3 linked regions of the Rattus norvegicus genome follow. The protein of the gene in region 1 purifies or fractionates together with the protein of each later gene. This does not show direct contact. Links are inferred from orthologs where the notes say so. Each region holds a gene or a part of one and is shown in the gene's direction. Other genes may lie near its edges. The genes, in order: Ncbp3, Thoc7 and Thoc1.

Region 1 (5,050 bases):
TGTGTGTTTTGTGTCAAAGTGTGCATGCTGTAACACATGTGAAGTCAGAGAACAACATCAGGTGTTGGTTCTTACCTATCATCTTTTTTGTTTGTTTGTTTTTTGTTTTTGTTTTATTTGAGGCAAGATCTCTCTGCATAGCCTTGGCTGTCCTGGAACTCACTATGTAGACCAGGCTGGTCTCAAACCCACAGAGGTACACCTGCCTGTGCATTTCAGGTGCTAGGATCAAAAGCATATGCCACTACATCTGACTTTTTTTTTTTTTTGCTGGTAGTAGTATTATTGATAATATTTTTAAATTTGTGTATGAGCATTTGCCTGTATGTATTAAGTGTACCACATTCAGAACTAGGATGTGAGGAGCTCAGGAGAGGACTTCAGATCCGTTTGGACTGGAGTTTCAGATAGTTGGGAGCTGCCCTGTGGGTATTGGGAACCAAACCTGGATCTCTGTAAGAACAGACAGTGATTGTAACTGCTGAACTATCTCTCCATTCCCCCTCCTACCTTGTTTTTGAGGTGTTCTCTCATCTCTGTCTCCTGTCTCTAAGAATGTAGAAATTACAGACAAATGCTGCAGGGTCGGACTTTTACATGGTACTGGGAATCTCATTCAGGTTGTTAGGCTTACCTGGCAAGCACAACCACAGTCATGCTATGCCCCTGGCCTCGGGGATGCTTAAAGCCATTAATGTATATCTGTGGAAACACTGCTTTCCAACTTAGAAAAATGGTTAGAAGTTGTCTGCATGTCTAAGCTTTGAGGGCCATGCCGACTGATTATCCCCAGCATCTGACAATATTGTCTTTTGCTAAGTGATTGCGTTACCATTGTACCACCTCCATTATCATACCTCAGAGTGAAGCCTCTTAGTTCCCATGTGATAAATTGTCCATACGTTGCTTTAATTCAGTTCATTCAGACTTTTTCTTTCTTCATGATTTAAATGTGTGCTGTTCAGTTTAAAACAGAATTTTCCATTTCAATTGTACTTTTTATTCTGTGTATATATCAGTGTTTGCCTCTGTGTGTTATGTGCACCATGTGCCTGCCTGGTGCCTATGGAGGTCAGAAGAGGGCATCAGATCCCCTGGAACTGGAGTTACAGACAGTTGTGAGCTACACCATGTGGGTGCTGGAAACTGAACCCTGGTCCTCTGTAAGAGCCCGTGTGCTTTTAAGTGCTGAGCCATCTCTCCAGGCCCAATTTAAAATGTAAAATATATATATATATATATAATGATAATATATATATATTAGATCTTTAAAAACAAGAATAAAAGTAAGTATGTTATACTTGGCTTTTTATAATTTCTCCCTCTCAGTTTGTGTCAGATACTTAAAGGCCAGAAGAAAGAGCTGAACATCTTCTAGTGGAATAGAGAATAGTACAAAGTGAAATGTTCTCAGTGTCATTAAGAAGTAGACTGCTGAGGGTTGGGGATTTAGCTCAGTGGTAGAGCGCTTGCCTAGCAAGCGCAAGGCCCTGGGTTCCGTCCCCAACTCCGGGGGGTTGGGGGGGGGAGAAGTAGACTGCTTTCAACCTAATACTTGAAACAGGTACCCGGGAAAAGGATTTGGCTAGGAGATTTACTGACTCAGTGAAGTGCTTGCTGTGTAAGCATAAGAACTGAGTTCAGGTCCCTAGCACTCGTGTGAAAGCAAAGCAAAACAAAATGCATAGAAGTTTGCACCTGTAATCTCAGCACTAAGGACAACCTGCTCCCCCACCCTCAAATGCACACATACATTCCTACCCACACACTAAGCACACACACAAAAGCTGGGAAAGGAGATTGTGGTTCATGCTAGGAAGACTTCAGGGACACAGATGAGCATAACTGTTGGGAAAGAACTGAAGCATGGCTGCTTCCTCACACCCATAAACTGGTTTTAGTCAAACCTTCAGTCAGTACGCAGTTGCTGAGGGGCTGTTGAGAGCCATCAGAAGATCATAGTTGGACATGAATTTATTTTCACTTTTGGAAGAAATTTACAAAGCTGAATTTTTTTTTCTTTTTTTGTCAGTGTTAATGCATCCTTGTCACTTAGGAATGAAAAGAGGCAATTTCATACACATAAGGCGGGAATAAAGGAGACTATTTTTGCTCTGGTGTTATTTTTATATGGGGGTGTGGCTATAGGGAGTGGACCATTCAGGCATCCATAATGTGGAAGAGCATAATAGGTGTGATTACCATGCCCACAGACAATGTAAATGATAATGGTAGTTGTGGAGCTCCTAGAAATAGCACTGGATCAGCTCTGCCCTTAGCTAGAGGAGATATTTCCTGCAAACCTTCCAGTTTCTTTTGTCTCCATTTCTACACTAAGAAAATTGAAAAGGTTAGGTTATTTGTTTTAACTTCTTAGTGTGATTGTCGGTGGTATATGAAATATCAGAAAACTTTATAAACCAGTGCTCACTGACTTCTTGACCACCTCCTGTGTTCTGGGTGCAGTCATGGGCTGTGATAGGATTGAGACTATTTCAGCCGGTTTACTGTAGACTGCGTATGTCCAGTTCTCTGCAAAACACATTCAAGGTTACTTATTTATTCTGATTTATTTGAAAGTTGCAGCATGTTTGTGATTTAACTTTCCTCATTCTCCCTTTATCTCTTTGCCTCTTTTTGTACTTTCTAGGAAGCAATTGAAAAGAAAGAACAGCGAGCCAAACGCTTCCACTTTCGAGCAGAAGTAAATCTTGCCCAGAGGAATGTAGCCTTGGACAGAGACATGATGAAGAAAGGTAAGGTGAAATGTTTTCATCCTGTTCCAAGAGTGCCTTCGTTTCATGTTTCTGGCTTTGTTCTGTGTGTCCAGTCATCATTCAAAATACCCAAGAAGAAGCGTTAAGGTGAGGTGCTGTCAGATTTTCTCAGAGCTAGAACAGTGGAACAGAAGAAGTTGTTAGGGAGGCTTGTGTCAGAGGTGAGATGTGCATCCTTGCCTCTGGACCTCCTCATCTGCTTTCATCATAGTGATGTTAGTTAGCTTCTCTTTGCCTTGAAGAATAGTGGAAGTGCATGTCTCACTGTGAACCTGTCTTTTAGGGCACTTGGAGCAGCTGGGATTTTTGTTGGTAATGATACATGGTACATATAAACCTCCCATTAGTTATTTTCAAAGAGAAAATACTCCCTACAACTCACAGCAAGGCAGTGATAGTGGTGGGTTTTTTGTTTATTTGTGCAGCTGGGTGTAACTCTGAGACTTACTCAAGCTAATCAAGTCAAGCCACCACATCCCCAGCCCAATTACTAATTTTCTGTTTGCTTGCTTGAGGCAGTGTCTCATGTAGCCCAGACTGATTTCAAACTGAAGATGATCTTGCTTCTACCTCCCAAGTTCTAAAATTCAGGAGTGCACCATGACACTCACTAGCAAAGCAACTTTTGAAGAAGGGAGCCTTTGATTGAGTGAGCCTACATCCTTCTCATTGCCTTATCTAGATCCATGAATACGAAAGGCCTCTCTCTGTTGTACTTATAAATACTGGTGTTTATAAAGGGCTCAGGAGGCAGCCTTCTTGCTGCATGTGGAAGCCCTGTGGGGCGGGGCTGTGTGAGTCTCTTAGTCATGCTTGGGCAATGAAAGCAGAAGCTCCTGAGCCTGCAGGATGGGGGAAATGGCTACTGTCTGCTAGGGACGTGCTTTCCTACGGCACTGTGTTAAGCACATGTTTGTTTTTCACCGCAAGCCTCTGAGGAGTATATTTTTTAATAATTATTTTACAAAGGAAGAAACAGGTTATAGAAGTTTAATTAGTTACTCAGAGCTAATGAAAGACTCAGGAGTCTAACCTATATCTGTCTCACTTTAAAGACTTAAACCTTACTTTAAAAACATTGTTTTATTGTGTGTGATTTTAGTCAACAATTGCTTATAGAAAGCAATCAAAATCTTACGTTTCTGCCAAGTCTTTGATTTAGGTAGAATCTCATGTAGCCCAGGCTAATCATGAACTCTGATCCTCCTGCCTCTGACTCCTAAGTTCTGAGTTTATTGGTGTGTGCCACCATACTCAGCTATGCAGGTATTTCATTTAAAAAGCAGGAGGTTTGCCTGGACATCAGTTGGGGAATATTGCTCATTCTATAGTGCAGCCTGAAAACAAGACTTAGGAAGATGGCCTAACCAATGCTCCTGAATCACTGCTACTCACCCAGATGAACTTAAGGTAGAATCGTGGGAAGATGGGGTTGGATAAGCCCTAGAGGTAACTATTGTTTTTGTAACTCCTGGGTAATTTAATGTGGAGTCAGGATTGGACAGGATTTGGAACCATTGGTTTTGAGCAAAGGTTCTGAAGCCCACTTTCCTGGATTCAAATTCTTTTTGTAGCTCTGTAACCTTGGACAAAATTAGACAGAACTGTCAGGAGTCTGACGAAATGTTGCAGCTCTTAGATTGGTGTTTCGCACATAGTAGGCACCCAGTAGATGTTAGTTTTCTGGTATTCTTCTAAGTAGTCGCCTGAGCAGACCAGCCTTCCACTTAGAGAGGGAAGTTGAAATAGGTCTCTTCATACCCACAGCTACATTAGGTGTCAACTGATTCATTTTCTTATTAATACCAACAATAATAACACTTGTTAAATGCTTACTGAGTTACAGTTGCTCTGTTATGTGGCTAATTTGTCCCTTAGGGATCCCCTGAGGGATTTTACTGATGAGAAAATCCAAGTGCTCAGAGAGTGAGAAATTTGCCTGAGGTTCCATAGCCAGGTATATAGCAGAGCTGGACTTGAAGGCTGGACTGACTGGAAGCCTGTGTTTTTATTTTGCTAGCATTCAGGGACACAACTTGACACAGGCTACATCTATTATGCATCAAAAGGGGTTAGTTAGCTACTTTTGAATGTCTAAGCAGATTGCTAACTAGCTTTTGTCCTCATGTCTCCAGGATCAGAGCTTTTAAAGTCGGAAGGGACCTTCTAGATTATTTAGACCAGCTTCCTTCTCAATACTTCAGGCCCTTGTCATCCAGAGGTGGTATGAAAATCATTATGGGGCAGGTAACTTTGTCTTAGGATACTTGCCT
Region 2 (3,916 bases), on another chromosome or scaffold:
TTTTTTCGGTCCTTCTCTTTGGAGGTCTCCTTTATGTTTGTATAATACGCAGAAAGGACATTAGTAAAGGAAGAAGTAAAGATCAAACTCAGCTGTAATAATTTGATTACTTTTAGCAAATCAGTATTTGCTAAGTATCTCTAAATGTTTTTTCTTTGCTAATAAGTAAATATATAAGTTGCTGTAAAATAATAATCACATGCTAATTTATGAAATTTTGCTGGATTTACTTTCTGCTTAAGTATGAAAGTTGTGAGAACAAAATTCTGATGAAACTCTATTGTTAGGGATGATTTAAGATGCAGACACATAATTTTGATAAGATGAGGACAGTAGTCTCATTCTGCCTTTGTAACCAGAATAACTTATAAATTCACGTACACCATGTCTAGCAAAGAAAATGGTAAGGGTGGATATTCTAAGCTATTTCAGTTAAATAATTCGGTCAGAACTTTGTTTAGTTTACGATTTCTTTTTCTTCTCTTTCTCTCTCTCGTTAGATACAGCCAGTACCAGCGGATGCTGAGCACGCTGTCTCAGTGTGAGTTCTCAATGGGCAAAACGCTGCTGGTGTATGATATGAACCTCAGAGAAATGGAAAACTATGAAAAAATATACAAAGAAATAGGTAAACATAGTGCTTCTTTCTAGAATTGTATTTTTGCAGTTTAAAGGAAAAGCTGATAGCAGTATGTAGATTGTAGTAAGATACTGTCAGTAATTACAGTGGTAAAGAATCTACCATCTACAGCCACAGTGTCATGTAGTAAGACAGCACTTTGTGTTGTAGATATTTTTAGAATGTCATCGTCTGTTGTGTTGTCAGTGGAATGTCTACTTAAAAGCAGACATTATACGTCTTATTATAACTACCGTTTTTTAATAGAATGCAGTATTGCTGGAGCACATGAAAAAATTGCTGAGTGTAAAAAGCAGATTCTTCAGGCAAAACGAATACGAAAAAATCGACAAGGTAAGGATTTGAAGGACTTGGGTTGCAGATATTTTATTCCTAACTTCAGGTTCCATGAAATTTTTAATATTGAAAGGCAAAATCTGCACCGTGAATCAGTTTACAAAAAAATAATTAACAATTACACTTATTCTTAACACTGTTACTTAAAATAGAGAACACAAGATATGCTGAAAAATATTTTGCTGAGTTTTATTATTTATCCAAGAAATCTTCAGTATTTTTTACTATCTTCAGATCCTTTTCCCTAAGCAGTAGTACAGTTAGTCTGCAAATGTGAACTCTATGACAGACTGAGGTATTTATTTGCTAGTTTAATAAAGCTACTTTCAAGAAAAAGGAAAAGAATTTTAACCCTTCATTATTCATAAAGCAAACAAGCGTTATCCACATAATTCCCTAATAGCAAAGTTAAAGTCAAGGTCAGCCAGGTGGCCCAGTGGGTGGAGCCCTTGCCACCAAGCCTGCCGCCCACCAGCCTAGGACCTACATGGTAGGAGAGGAGTGAGTCCCTTGTGCCATCGCCCTCCCACACCCATAGGTATTCAAAAATAAAATAAGTGTAAACACTTTAAACACAGAAGTAACGTTTAGTCTTATTCTAATCTCTTAGGTTATCCTTCACTTGGTGTCCTATCTGGCTATCTGAAAGAACTTTAGTTTTATATGTGTGTCTGTATACAGCTGAGTGTAGGTGCCCACGGAGGCCATAATTGGCCCTGTTATCCCTGGAGTTAAGGCAACTGTAAACTACATGAGTGCTGGAGACTGAATTGGGGTTCTGTGAAACATTAGTATATGCTCTTAAGTGCTGAGCCATTTCTCTAGCCCTGGAAATTATTTTTAATACTAGGCTCTTCCCATTACATAAATTGGAAAAGGTAAGATAAAAGCAATGTTTAAAGTGTTGGCAGTGCTCTCATAATTCTTGGCCTTTTCTTGGTTTTTTTTTTTTTTTTTTGTTTGTTTGTTTTGTTTTGGTTTGGTTCTTTTTTTTTTTTTTTTTTTTTCCGGAGCTGGGGACCGAACCCAGGGCCTTGTGCTTCCTAGGTAAGCGCTCTACCACTGAGCTAAATCCCCAGCCCCTTTGGTTTGGTTTGGTTTTGGTCTTATTCAAGACGGATTTCTCTGTGTAATAGCCCCAGCTGTCCTGGAACTTGCTATTTATACCAGGCTAGCCTGGAGTAAAAAGGGATCTACTGGCCTTGGTTTCTGCCTCTGCCTCCCAAGTGCAGGGATCAAAGATATGTACTACCACATTATTGTCATTTCTTTAAGAAAGTGAATAAGAGTTATTTTCATTTACACATTTCTTTTTGATAATCCAGATTCAAAAAAAAATGCCTTAATTTGGCAAATATTTTCTTGTCTTTCAGAATATGACGCTTTGGCCAAAGTTATCCAGCATCATCCGGACAGGCATGAGACACTGAAGTGAGTATAGAGCTTATAGGGAGCTGGCTGTTATACAAAATGGTGAAGAGCTATGCCTCACACTAACTACCTGCTCAGATAAACAGAGTATACCCAAAGGAAAGGTCATTGTTTAGTATCACAGGGTCTTACACTGCCTGATGAAAGCCCTTGCTATCTCCAGGGTCACTACCTATTGGTTCAGAATAGATGTGTAGTATGTCCCCAAAGGAAATGGAGATGTACGCTTTAATCTATTAACAGAATACTGAATACCAATAAAGACTATGCTACACACTAAAACAGCTGAAAAACATGCAAACAGTAAAAAAAAAAAGAACTTTAAACCATTTCTGAAACATTTATGAAAGTTAAAAATTCCCTCTCAAATATTCTATACTAATACTGTATATTATTCAGAGATACAAATAGGTGTATCTAAAAGAAATTATGTAATTATATTTTTGTTATTATAAAATTTGCATCTATAGTACAATTTAGGAGCTAAGAAATCATCCAGTTACAAAATCTTGCCACAGGGTTATTGGATTCCTTTTTTATGGATGTTATGCATGCATATCTATGTACCACTTGCACACCGGGTGCCTGTAGCAGCTAGAAGAGGGCATCAGATCTCTGTGACTAGAATTACAGACACGGTCGTGAGCCACTGTTTGTGAACTAGGAATAGAACCTGGGTCTTCTGAAACAGGAGCAAGTGCTCTTAACTGCCCAGCCATCTCTCAAAACCCTTTTTATTTTCAGATTATTATTTAGTGGCCCAAATACTATATAAGTTTTCCCCCAAAGTAGCGAAATATAACATTGTTTTGTTTTATTTTGTTCCCTCAGGGAGCTAGAGGCTCTGGGCAAAGAATTAGAGCATCTCTCGCATATTAAAGAAAGTGTTGAAGATAAGGTATTTGAATATATATGTTAGCCTCTACGTGTGTGTATGTGTGTGTGTTTAGAGATAAACTTATATAAGTTGTTTTCTTCTTAACACAGCTGGAATTGAGACGGAAACAATTTCACGTTCTTCTTAGTACCATCCATGAACTTCAACAGACATTGGAGAGTAAGTAAAACCATTCAAAATTGCAGCTTCAGAAGACTTTAAATGACTGGGGAGTGCTTTGGTGAGAGAGTCTGCCTCCAGAATCCAGTGCTATATCTGGATGGCATTAGAAAACACTCTCTGTTCAACTTTCTGTATACAAACAGAAGAGCAGTGATTCTGTGGTAATCTGTGCTTTGCATGCATGTCTACTAATAAGAAAACTTCAAGAGTGATGGGGAGTGTTTCCTGACTAATGATTCAGGACACGTGCAAACTACTGTAAGTTGTTGGTATATTAGGCTGCCTACATGCTCAGCAAATGGGGGGCCCACCGAGAAATTGAAGACTTGATCTTTCTTGTGACTGTAACCAAGTAGAACTTCCTGTGTTTTCTGATCGTTTTTGTTTTTTTTTAATTAAGGCTACGACTTAGATTTTAGTTCTTTAGTGTTTAATGAAATCTATCACAC
Region 3 (3,949 bases), on another chromosome or scaffold:
AACCACTCATTTCACAGATTCCTTATTCAAAATACTTGAAGCTATATGTGTTTTCAGGTTTGTCCAGATTTGGAACATTTTAGACTCCAGCAGATAAGACAAACTAGACTTTGAGTCAAACAGGAGTGTGAAATAACCGAAGCTCACCTCTGGTGCCATACAATGTGGGACAGCTCACCAGTTGTCTCTCTCACTGTCTCCTTGCTTCTGTGTAACTGCATGAGTGGTTCTTTGTACAGTGTCTATCTAACAGCCAGGACATTGACTTGCTAAAATAAAGCAAAATATTATATAGACTTTCAAATTATAAGATGGTACACTTTGCTGTTATTTGCAATAGAACATAAATTTGTGACTCATTGTGTGAAAATAACTATGGAACTGGTTACAAGGCTGACATCTCTTCTTATAGAGCCGTAAATAATTCAAATTATGGATGGAGAGCTCTCAGACTCTTAGCCCGGAGAAGCCCTCACTTCTTCCAGCCAACTAACCAGCAGTTTAAGAGTCTGCCAGAGTATCTTGAAAACATGGTGATAAAGCTAGCCAAGGAACTACCAGTAAGTGATGTACTTCATTTTCCCCATTTCCTTACTAGATATTATCTCCTTTAAAACTATTATCATTATTTGAGCAGAATTCAGTTTAGGTTTTCCTACAAAATTAGTTGTCTGCAGACCCCCATGTTTTAGAATGGGAGCAAGGATGTTGTTGAATTTACAGAGAAAAAGTAAAACATAGAGATATCGGTAATTTTCTGTGCAGTATGCAATTTACCCAAAGTACTACTATTTTCAGTAAACTAGATCAGATTTTCCTCTTTACTAGTGTTTTACTGTCTTTTGTCAAAAGCAGGATCTAAGAGTAACAGAAGGTCACCTGGCAGAGCCTTCCCCACTGTTTCCTTACAGTATGGTAATGGTGGACATGGTCAATCCCTGTCACCCCTTAGACAGAACTGCCTTAAAGCTTAGGTGTTTGCAAACCTGCCTGCCCATGCTTCTCACTCTTTCTACCTAAGATCTTTTATCTTCAGAAACTGAAGTTCTTTTAAACATTGTTCTTCATTTACTATAGCCCCCTTCTGAAGAAATAAAAACAGGTGAGGATGAAGATGAGGAAGATAATGATGCTTTACTAAAGGAAAATGAAAGTAAGAATTGAATTTTTTTGGCTGTTTTACAAAATTGGAAAAGACTGGGGGATCTTTGTTATTTAATTTGATTTACTTCTCAGTTCTACCATTTTATCTTACTTTTGACTTAAAATAAGTTAAAAACATTGGTCACTTAAAGTCCATTTTATAGAATGAAATTTGGAGATGATAATTTTAAAAGGCAAAGAAGATGGGTGCTTTAAAAGGATGTATACAGTCTATGGAAATTTTCAAGTTTTAAAGTTTTAGGGGATTAGTAACCCACTGGTAATTCTAGCTTTGCTGTTCTTTCCGATATTTTAAATGCACATCTCTATATTTTGCACATAATTTATATCCCCTGTTTTCTAGGTCCTGATGTTCGGCGAGATAAACCTCTAACAGGGGAACAGATAGAGTCATTTGCCAACAAACTTGGTGAGCAGTGGAAGATTTTGGCTCCTTACCTGGAAATTAAAGACTCTGACATTAGGCAGATTGAATGTGACAGTGAGGACATGAAGATGAGAGCCAAACAGCTCCTTGTTGCCTGGCAAGATCAAGAAGGAGTTCACGCAACAACTGATAACCTGATTGGTGCACTGAACAAGTCTGGGTTAAGTGACCTTGCAGAAAGTCTAACTAATGACACTGAAACAAACAGTTAGCTTTCTTTCTTTCTCTCCTTTTTTATTGAACAGTGATTAAGATTTTGTTACCAAGCAGCATTTGATAAAAGGTTCACTGGTTTTGGTAAACAATAAACACTTTTATAACAGCTGTTGTACAGTTAGCTGGTGCTCAAAAAACCACATACCGAACAGGCATTGGAGTATAGGAGGACAGGGTGGGAAAATGGCCAAAGTAAAAGGACCACAAGATCACAGACGACTTTTTGTAAGTATTTTTATAATGAAGTTAAATGAGTACTATTTATGAGTATGTTAGAGTCCTGTCCCAAATTAGTTTCCTGCATGCTATCAGTTATAAAATGTATTCTGAAATCACAAGATGACACTTCTGAAACCTTAGGACTGGAAAGCTGGAAAGCAGAGGATTGGCAAAGGATGGATAGTTTAAGTGTTTTACTGGCAGTCTGCCATGTTTACTCTACTACAGCAAGAGTCCAGACTGATAGCCAGGGGCCCTGCAAACCATTTGCTGTTTGGCCAATACAGAAAATGTTTGCTAGCCTCTAACTTTATGTGAAGTGGAGTCTAAGACCCAACTACTCCTTTAGCTTTATAAAGATTACTTGACATCCTCAAGTCTCTAAACACCCAGGGATTCCTGTCAGTTGACTTGTGAAAATACACTGTATGTAGCAGAGCATGTGCGGTGCTGGCTGAAGGTTCATGTTCTGTTCCCATACAACATTTCCTGTGGGTGTTTGGTGTCTGGTGAAGGTTAAAAGTGTCCTTGCCTGGACCATGCACACTCCACTAGCTGGGGAAGCAGTGGCTGCGCACAGCTCCAGCTTCCTGGTACCCTCTGCACTAAGCAAATTAAGGCATGCTCAGGAACTGAAAGGGAGAATGGATTTTTTGCCTCTTCTCTCTTACATTCAAGGATGCATTCTAAAATACTAAACACCTTATTTAAAACAACACTGGAAATCCAATTTCTACTTTAAAGAATTCTCTTTGGAATGCTTTTCTAGGTCAAATAAACTATCGAGAAGCTTTTTGTATAATAGTTTTTAATTCTCAGTGCACTCTAAACATGGTTTTGGTGTATTTGTTGTAAACCCACCTCACCTGGTTTAGTGGGAAAACACAGGTGCCAAGTTACTTCCTTCTCCAACTAGCCAATGAGACTGAGTAAAACCATTACAGTACACATTCCATGTAAGTTAGCAAACTTTACAAACCTGAAATGCTGGCTTACCCACAGTGTTACAGAGTTATTATCTAATAAAAATCTTGGGTACTTTACAGAGCATTAGAACATATAGTCCAAAATGTCATAATATTCCCAAAATTTTATTATTAATCAACTCAAATCGACCAACTTGCTACAATATTCAACATTTGGTCCTTTCCTTAGATTGCTAAGGAAATTAAGGTTCCTGAAACATAAACAACAGGTATGTGAGGTAATGAAACTGATCACAGAATTCAGTGTCCAAAGGAATTCATCACTTTTACAACTTTGTGTTTCTTTTGAAATAACACTGGCCAACCTAAAGTTTCTTGTATTTTAAATGGATGTTTAACTGCTTAGATTATTAGCTATTTGCAGAAACTGTATAGTATTGAATTCATCTGACTCTTCAGCCAAGCTCTAATACTAAAAAGAGACCAGGTCAAAAGTTGTTAATCCCTCTTTTTCCTTATTTTTAATTATTAAATATCCTTGGTTTCTAAAAATAAGCAACCAGAGCTTGTTTATACATATGATTACCACAAAGACCAATGCAAAGTTACACATAAACCACAGCACATTAGAGACACAATAATAAGTGTATAATCAAGTGTGTTCGTATTAATCACAATTTATTGTAAAGTCATGAAAGGCCAGCAACAGTCAGTCTGGACAATACTTGATTGCACCCAGTTGATGGGATGTGGACAGCAGCACTGAGTTACACGATGAGAGCAACACTTCATTTTCCACCTCCTAGGAAAATATTGGTTAGATAAGGCAAAGGACGGGCAGCTACTGAACGGTGATATTAACCATGCAAGAACAACACATAGGTGTGCAATAAACATCATTGCTAAATCTTGGGTTGAATAGGCAAGGGATAAAATGGATTTCAGCCAAGAATTTGTAACAATTAATGCAAAAGATTTTAAAGAATGTCTTGTAGCT

What was found.
Region 2: the proteins of Ncbp3 (region 1) and Thoc7 purify together in Homo sapiens (co-immunoprecipitation; 3 studies listed by BioGRID and IntAct, with this or other methods). This does not show direct contact. The link is inferred for Rattus norvegicus from reciprocal best matches to the Homo sapiens genes NCBP3 and THOC7.
Region 3: the proteins of Ncbp3 (region 1) and Thoc1 purify together in Homo sapiens (co-immunoprecipitation; 4 studies listed by BioGRID and IntAct, with this or other methods). This does not show direct contact. The link is inferred for Rattus norvegicus from reciprocal best matches to the Homo sapiens genes NCBP3 and THOC1.

The regions. Positions count from the first base shown.
Region 1 is NC_086028.1:58,166,607-58,171,656, forward strand, and holds part of Ncbp3 (nuclear cap-binding protein subunit 3), read left to right. Parts: intron 1-2,650; coding exon 2,651-2,756; intron 2,757-5,050. UniProt on the Homo sapiens protein: Associates with NCBP1/CBP80 to form an alternative cap-binding complex (CBC) which plays a key role in mRNA export. NCBP3 serves as adapter protein linking the capped RNAs (m7GpppG-capped RNA) to NCBP1/CBP80.
Region 2 is NC_086033.1:13,702,528-13,706,443, forward strand, and holds part of Thoc7 (THO complex subunit 7 homolog), read left to right. Parts: intron 1-500; coding exon 501-628; intron 629-886; coding exon 887-973; intron 974-2,349; coding exon 2,350-2,407; intron 2,408-3,238; coding exon 3,239-3,305; intron 3,306-3,394; coding exon 3,395-3,464; intron 3,465-3,916. UniProt on the Homo sapiens protein: Component of the THO subcomplex of the TREX complex which is thought to couple mRNA transcription, processing and nuclear export, and which specifically associates with spliced mRNA and not with unspliced pre-mRNA.
Region 3 is NC_086036.1:1,289,132-1,293,080, forward strand, and holds the end of Thoc1 (THO complex subunit 1), read left to right. Parts: exon of another isoform or gene 1-404; intron 405-412; coding exon 413-560; intron 561-1,077; coding exon 1,078-1,153; intron 1,154-1,507; coding exon 1,508-1,803; 3' UTR 1,804-2,825; downstream 2,826-3,949. UniProt on the Homo sapiens protein: Component of the THO subcomplex of the TREX complex which is thought to couple mRNA transcription, processing and nuclear export, and which specifically associates with spliced mRNA and not with unspliced pre-mRNA.